2 linked regions of the Sus scrofa genome follow. The protein of the gene in region 2 purifies or fractionates together with the protein of the main gene of each other region. This does not show direct contact. Links are inferred from orthologs where the notes say so. Each region holds a gene or a part of one and is shown on either strand. Other genes may lie near its edges. The genes, in order: DCC and CASP9.

Region 1 (3,819 bases), on a different chromosome or scaffold from region 2:
TTGCTGAAAGGAAATAGCTTGCTGCCTTGTTAATATTCATAGAGGTCACATCTCTACATTTTTGCACCTGCCTGAATTGTCACTGGCCCCATATCTTATGCTTTGCTGTGCTTTTATTTTCACTTTTCATTAAACTTCCCAATATTTCATTTTCATTCATTTCTTAGATCTCTAGTTTTCTCTGATACTGCTTTGTCAAATTCATCCTCTTCCGTATGATCTCTTCCTCTTTTTCATGGCATTTAAAAAAATAAGTCTAATCTTTCCTTTGTTAGGCAAGGTACAACTAAAAGTATAAATTTTCAAACATATTCAGTTTCAATACTTTCAATGCTGGATTATTTGGCCTAAATTTTCAAGACTTATTTTCAAATTAAGAGGTATATCTAGGAGAGAGTTCTCCTTGTGGCTCAGTGGGTTAAGAACCCGACAAGTATCCATGAAGATGCAGGTCTGATCCATGGCCTTGCTCAGTGGGTTAAGGATCCAGCTTGAGCTGTGATGGAGGTCACAGATGCAGCTCAGATCGCGTGTTGCTGTGGCTATGGCATAGGCCGACAGCTGCAGCTCTGCTTAGATCCCTAGCCTGGGAACTTCCATATGCCCCAGGTTCACCCCCCCCAAAAAAAAGAGGTATATGTTGGAGAACTGTCCATCATTTACACTTCTAATCACCTACCATCAGTTAGAAGGAGAACAAAAAGATACTAATGTAAATGAGTCCCCACACCTGCACAAAGGTGTTTGTATTCATAGGAATAACAAAACACACAAAAAATTATCTTGAGCTCTTAATCAGTAATCACACTTTGAGAATGACTAATTAGAACATCCTGACTCAGAATGTATATCTTTTCAAAGTTTAAATTTGACGGTACTAGATAGTTTGAATGAATTAGCAAAATTTCTAGTTTAGGCTAGTATATTTCATAGTTTTACTTAGAAAATTCTGACCATGGAATTTATGGCATACATACAGTATTACTTCACTATTATAACAAAAAGGTGAGTCAAATTTCACCGTTTATAACTTACCATCAGAAAGTGTAACCACTGTTATATCTTCAGTGGAGACTCCAGGCCCATAGCGATTATAAGCCAGGAATCGAAGACTGTATTCCGTGAATTTTTTCAAGCCTTCCAGTTTATAAGAGAGTCCATCAACCTCTATGTTCTGGAGACATAAAACACCAAAAGTGTTATTCAGGAGGCACATTAAAGCAGAAATGGCAGCCATTCTGTGCAATCAGTGAATTGGATATGAGACTCTTACTCACAAAACTACCCTCTAGTCTTATTATGAGTTGTAAAACCGAAATTGTGATCCACACTCCCCCACTAAAACCAAAACCACTCTGTAGACTCCTAGTTAAAATAGCACTGTGCTATTTTTACAGTCATTAAGCTCCAATTTGTTCAACATCACCCAATACATTGAAGGCTGTGTGGTGTTAACACCCACACCAAAACCCCGACAAGAAGGTGGCAGCTTGTAAATCCATGGGAACAGAGAGCTGCTCCTTTACCCTGAATGGAATAATTTACAAGAAACAATAGATTTCTTCCTCCTCTCGCTGAAATATACCCAGGATGCTTGAAACTGACAGATACTTTGCTACCATGGCTATCTCTCACAATGCTTTGAGCTGAAGTTGGAAATGCTGTCAGCACTTCACAGCTATGGAAATGAGTTCCTGGAGGTGAAGGCCACTGAAAAATCAGTGCCAGTTCACTCTAGAAGAGCCATTATTTAGCTCTCCATGATGATTCTCACACGTAATATCTATCCAGGGTAACACTAATTTTTAAAATTTATTTGAATGGATTTGGGAGTTCCTGGTGTGGCTGAGTAGGTTAAGAATCCAACATAGCGCCCCTGAGGATGTGGGTTCGATCCTTGGCTATGCTTAGTGGGTTAAGGATCCAGCATAGAGAGCAAGCTGCATCTGCATAGGCTGCAGATGTGGCTCAGATTCAGCATTTCTGTGGCAGCTGCAGCTCTAAATCAACCCCTAGTCTAGGAACTTCCAGGTGTGGCCATAAATTAAATAATTAATTAAATGGATTTGTGCAATTCATTATTAGAGAACTAAAATATGTAGAAAAAAGGATAGACTAGAACAGTGAAAATAGCTAAATAGGAGTATGGGAACAGTAAATAAAAAAACAATTGGAGTAAATGAATACATAGGAGAAGTTCTTGGTAATTATCATGAGGGAAAAAATTTCTGAATAGAATTTTTTTTAATGAAAAATATCTATCGTGCAGTTTATGTGGAAACATATGCTTGGCAAACTTCACAACATATTGTAAGAATTTCACTCTCCTAGGGTCACATCCGGGTCTTTCTTATTTATACACTTATCTGTGTATCTTTTTCTACATGAAGCTAAGAATCTGAAAGTAAACATCTCCATAGTAATATGTAAATCACAAAATAGAATGGCCAAGTTTCATGTGTCTCCCTAAAGACCCATGTATTGTAACTTAATCTGAAAATATAATTTTCCTGTTTTCAAATATATGTGTTCACCACAGATTAGAGGCAAAATTGAAGAAAGAAAAAGGTAGTCTTCTGGAATAAGGTATACTGCAAACAATGAGAAGCGACTGGTGACAGGCCCACGGTGAGGAGAAGGTAGAAATAATATCAAACATATGGATGAAAAGAAGAATGAAAAAAGCAATTTGATTGAGGTCATTGAATACAGGGTTGATCATCCCTTAGGATAAGGACTGAAAATCAAATATTTTCTGGCACCAGATGGGCTCATTCAAAGGTGCTTACACTGGCTCAGACCACTAGATGCTCAAACAAAATCAGCATCCTTTATGTTGACTTCATGTCACTGCCCATTTGCCTCTCTTACCACCAGCATTCAATTCAATTGCTTAACAGTTTAAATGACGAGTGCTTTAAAACTGATCAGCCATCCACTTAAAGTGCTGGATACAGGACTATATCAAGAGCATGTAGATCTCACAATTTCTCCAGTCATAGCATCGTCAAATAGGTGGCAGGAGTGGGGCCCATTATCTTGCCTACCTGTTCCTTCCCCGTGGACACTTCAGTGCAGAACAATCTGTAACCTTGGACGGGACCATTTGCATAGGCAGGGGGTTCCCAGGTAATAAGAATTGAGGTAGGTGAGGTAGATACAGCTTGCAGGTTCTCTACTGGTCCTGGAACTTGCACTGTTTACAAGAGAAATTGATTAGTCCAAGAAGGTTCTCTTTCTCAAAACAAACAGAATATCTTTTACAGTTCAAGGAAATTATAGCAGCATGTGCTACTTTTAGAACTGTATGGAATAAGCACGTCAAAACATAGAATATGCATAGAAAGTAATGAAGTTTTAGGATCATTCATTTTAAAATTCAGAAGAGGATTTACATTAATCTAAATTACTTATTTCATTTTTACAGTTGAGGAAACTAGTCAAGGAGTATAAATGACTAGGGTAATGGCAGAAGAGTGGGGATCTGAATCTAAATTCTCAGTATGGGAAAATTGTCACTTTTCCAGCATGGTTTTGCCTGTGTACTGCTAATAACTGCAGAAAGAAAAGAGAAAATGTAATTAGAATACTTGTAGATCATAGTCCTACTTATAATTTAAATAGGCAGCACAGTTATGGGTAATTTACCACATCATTGTCGTTATTTAGTTATCATCTTAAAATCTTGCCCAATCGGGTCCTTTAAATTAATTTTAGGATTTAATTTTCAATTTTACTTTATTTTCTCTCATAACTATTACTACAGTTCATCAAGAAGAAACTTGTTCATTAAAGGAAATAGATAGATACAGGTCCACA
Region 2 (3,819 bases):
TGGCCAATACACTTATTGGATGGATCATATGACCAGAGCCTGGCCTCCTCGACAGCCCCCAACCCCATCCCTGCCACCATGGAATAGTACGGGACAGATAAATGTGTGGAGGAGAAAATGCCACGGTGCCCGTGTTACAGGTCGTTGGCATGCACGGCCCCCTCCTGGGCAAGCAGGACAGCTCTGTGGTATAACAATGCCCGCTTCTCTGGCAGACCAGACCAAGGCACAAGGGATACACTGTCCCTGGGACAGAATTCCCAGTTTTCCCCACCTCTGCCATCATGTCCCATAAGGCAGGACATACAATGTACTTTTCTTGTCCCTCCTCTTTTTTTTTATTTTATAAGAAAACTAAGGTGAAAATAGGGCTTTGGTTTAAAATCAGGATATATAAGAGTTCCCTGATGGCCTAGCACTTAAAGAATCCAGGGAGTTCCTGTCATGGCACAGCAGAAACGAATTTGACTAGTAACCATGAGGTTTTGGGTTCGATCCCTGGCCTCACTCAGTGGGTTAAGGATCCAGCATTGCCATGAGCTATGGTGTAGGTCGCAGATGTGGCTCAGATCTGGTTCGCAGTGGCTGTGGTGTAGGCCAGTGGCTGTAGCTCCAGTTAGACTCCTAGCCTGGGAACCTCCATGTGCCACAGATGCGGCCCTGAAAAGCAAAAAAAAAAAAAAAAAAATTCTAATAAAAAAAATGGAGTTCCCGTCATGGCTCAGTGGTTAACGATTCCAACTAGGAACCATGAGGTTGTGGGTTCGATCCCCGGCCTCGCTCAGTGGGTTAAGGATCAGGCGTTGCCGTGAGCTGTGGTGTAGGTCACAGACGAGGCTCGGATCCCGCATTGCTGTGGCTCTGGCATAGGCCAGCAGCTACAGCTCCAATTAGACCCCTAGCCTGGGAACCTCCATATGCCGTGGGAGTGGCCCCAGAAAAAAGCAAAAAGACAAAAATAAATAAATAAATAAAATTTTAAATTAAAAAAAACTTAAAAAATAAAGGATCCAGCATTGTCACTGCTGCAGCTTGGTTCACTGCTATGGCCCAGGTTCAATCCCTACCCTGGGAAATTTTGTATGCAGCATCCCAAAAAAATAAATAAAAAATAAAAATAAAATAAAAAAGAAATAAAATCAGGACATACAGCAAAACTATAAATAATCTAAATAATGTTTAAAAGTTACTGAATCCTGGAGTTCCCATTGTGGCTTAGTGGTTAATGAACCTGACTAGTATCCACAACGATGCGGGTTCGATCCCTGGCCTCGCTCAGTGGTTTAAGGATCTGGTTTTGCCATGAGCTGTGGTGTAGGTCACAGACGCAGCTTGGATCCCATGTTGCTGTGGCTGTGGTGTAGGCCAGTGGTGTAGGCAGTTCCGATTCAACCCCTAGCCTGGCAACTTCCATATGCCACGGGTATGGCCCCCAAAATACAAAAGACAAAAAAAAAAAAAAGTTACTGAATCCTCAGTACCTGAGCCCTTGGGAATTCCTTTAGGTAATTCCTATAGTTAATCCCTTTCTCTGGGACAGTGGTTGATGGAGACTGGGAAAATAATAAGGAAAGTGAAAGACATTTTCTCTCTCCTCTGCTTTGTTTGCTTTTGCCAAGTCTCTGGGGTTGAAGTGGCCAAAGCTGAATGATCCCCTGATGCTACTGTGCCATGAGACGGAAGACATGAAACTCAAAGGCAGGACAGAAAGGTGCCCCCTTTGGGCAGCAGTGACCATGTCCAGGACCTGCCTGGATCAACCCCTGGGACACTGTGAGGCGTGATGGAGAAGGAAGCAGGTGGCGGCTCCTTCCCCACGAGACACCGGGGCAGGGAGGCCGAGGACCCGCTTACCCCCGCCGCAGGCCTGGATGAAGAAGAGCTTGGGCTTCCCTCCCAGGCTGGGGCAGCTGGTTCCGTTGAAGATGTTCACAATTTTCTCCACGGACACAGGACATCCATCTGTGCCATAAACAGCCCCTGGGAACTGGAGGTGGCTGGCCTAGAAGACCAAGAATCCTGGTTACCAACCCAAGAAGTGAGAGTAGGAACCCAACAGCCTGTTCAAACAGAGGCTCTGTGGGAGCCAAGCATTTAAAAGGTCCTAGCCAGGGAACAAGGCTGAGTTAGACAAAGCAGGTTGGTGCTGGGCGGCCCCGGGCACTCTCTTCCAGGGTGCTCAAACCCACATGACTAGAGGCACCAGCCCGCCTGACTGGAGAGTGCTGGCCAGCTCCCTCTAGATCAGGGGTCCTCCAAGCGTGGTCCCTGGACCAACAGCATCACTGGGGAACTTAAAGACATGCAAATTCCCAGGCCCCACCCAGACCTCCTAAATCAGAAACCCTCTGATTCTGAGGATGAGCAATCTGGTCCTTCAGGCACCTCTGCTGCAGCACAACACTGAGAACTACCAGTCCAGACCCAGTTCTTCTCAAACTCTCCGTGCGTGGCCTCTCATTAAGGTACAGGCTCTAAGAGTCTGTATCCCCATGAGCCCCCAGGTGACATGTGCTGCCAGTCTAAGGGCCACACTGTGGATGGAAGGACCAAAGGGGCAGCCCAGCCACAGGCTGGAGCTTTCTTTACTCCATGAGGATGCTGGCCTGATAAGGTCAGACCTTTACAGCTTCTCAAAGGAAGATGGAAATCCTGATTCTTGTGCTAAAGTTGCCAGTTTTGAAAACACTATGCAGCACAAGGGGGGGGGGGGGCTCCAGGTGCCAGCTTGTTACGTCTGCTCTGTCCCATCCTTCAACTAGAAAGATGAGGAAACTGAGGCATGGGAAGGGGGAGGGGCTTGGCCACAATGACCCCGCACCTTAGCAGCCAAAGCCAGGGTGAGTTCCAGGGCCCTGACTCCCAGCCAGCGGCAAAGGGCCCCGAACAGTGCCCGGCAGGGCCGAGCAGGAAAGCAGGAACCGGGAGCGCTTACAAGCTGTGCCTGGCTCTGAACAAAGCCCTGGGGTAGGAGCTTATGAGCAGAAACTGGCTCTCCCAGACAGCTCCTCCCAGGACACCACCCCACCCAGGAGGAGCACCCAGCTCTTCAGAGGGCCAACTGGTTCCCAAGGAAATGATGGGAGATGGATAGGGCCCTACGGCTCTTCCCACAAAGGCCAGGGTGTCTTGGACACAGGAAGGGTCAGACTCCCGCATGACCTCTCCGCGCAGCCTCCTACCTGACAGCCGTGAGAGAGCACGACCACCACGCAGCAGTCCAGAGCGCCGTGGTCCCGCCGCGCCAGCTCCACCAAAGCCTGGACCATTTGCTACAAGAACACTGACGGGTCAGGTCCCCACCCTAGGCCTGCCCGCCCCTGCTCCCAGGCTCCATAATGAAGTAATTACAGCAATCTCAACAGCTACCACCCTTGGGAGGAGAGGCTGCACCGGGCGCTCCTTATCTACTCCTACAACGAACCCAGGAGGTGAGCGCTGCCCTTGCTGTCTCAACAGGGAAGCCCAGGCCCAGGCATCACACGGGAGATGGGACAGCTGCTTCCCAACTCTGCTCTCTGAGTCTGACATTTGCACAGGTAGCCACTGAGCCGCGCCACCTCCCGTGGCCCTGCAGACCAGACGGCTTGTCTTGGGGAGCTGCGTGCTTTCATCGTCCTCACAGGGCACCGCCCGCCCTCCAGCTCTCTCCACAGACAGGGAACCGCACCTTGGCAGTCAGGTTGCACTTCACGTCCACCACGAAATGCAGCAAGTGGAAGCGCCGCTGCATCCTCTCACAGTCGATATTGGAGCCAGTGCGCTTCCTGAGCCCCGACTCATGGCAGAAGTTCACGTTGTTGATGATGAGGCAGTGGC

Evidence for each region.
Region 1: the proteins of CASP9 (region 2) and DCC purify together in Homo sapiens (co-immunoprecipitation; 3 studies listed by BioGRID and IntAct, with this or other methods). This does not show direct contact. The link is inferred for Sus scrofa from reciprocal best matches to the Homo sapiens genes CASP9 and DCC.

Annotation. Positions count from the first base shown.
Region 1 is NC_010443.5:102,714,858-102,718,676, reverse strand, and holds part of DCC (netrin receptor DCC), read right to left. Parts: intron 3,197-3,819; coding exon 3,048-3,196; intron 1,175-3,047; coding exon 1,036-1,174; intron 1-1,035. UniProt on the Homo sapiens protein: Receptor for netrin required for axon guidance. Mediates axon attraction of neuronal growth cones in the developing nervous system upon ligand binding. Its association with UNC5 proteins may trigger signaling for axon repulsion.
Region 2 is NC_010448.4:74,716,450-74,720,268, forward strand, and holds part of CASP9 (caspase-9), read right to left. Parts: coding exon 3,671-3,819; intron 3,273-3,670; coding exon 3,183-3,272; intron 2,003-3,182; coding exon 1,855-2,002; intron 1-1,854. UniProt on the Homo sapiens protein: Involved in the activation cascade of caspases responsible for apoptosis execution. Binding of caspase-9 to Apaf-1 leads to activation of the protease which then cleaves and activates effector caspases caspase-3 (CASP3) or caspase-7 (CASP7).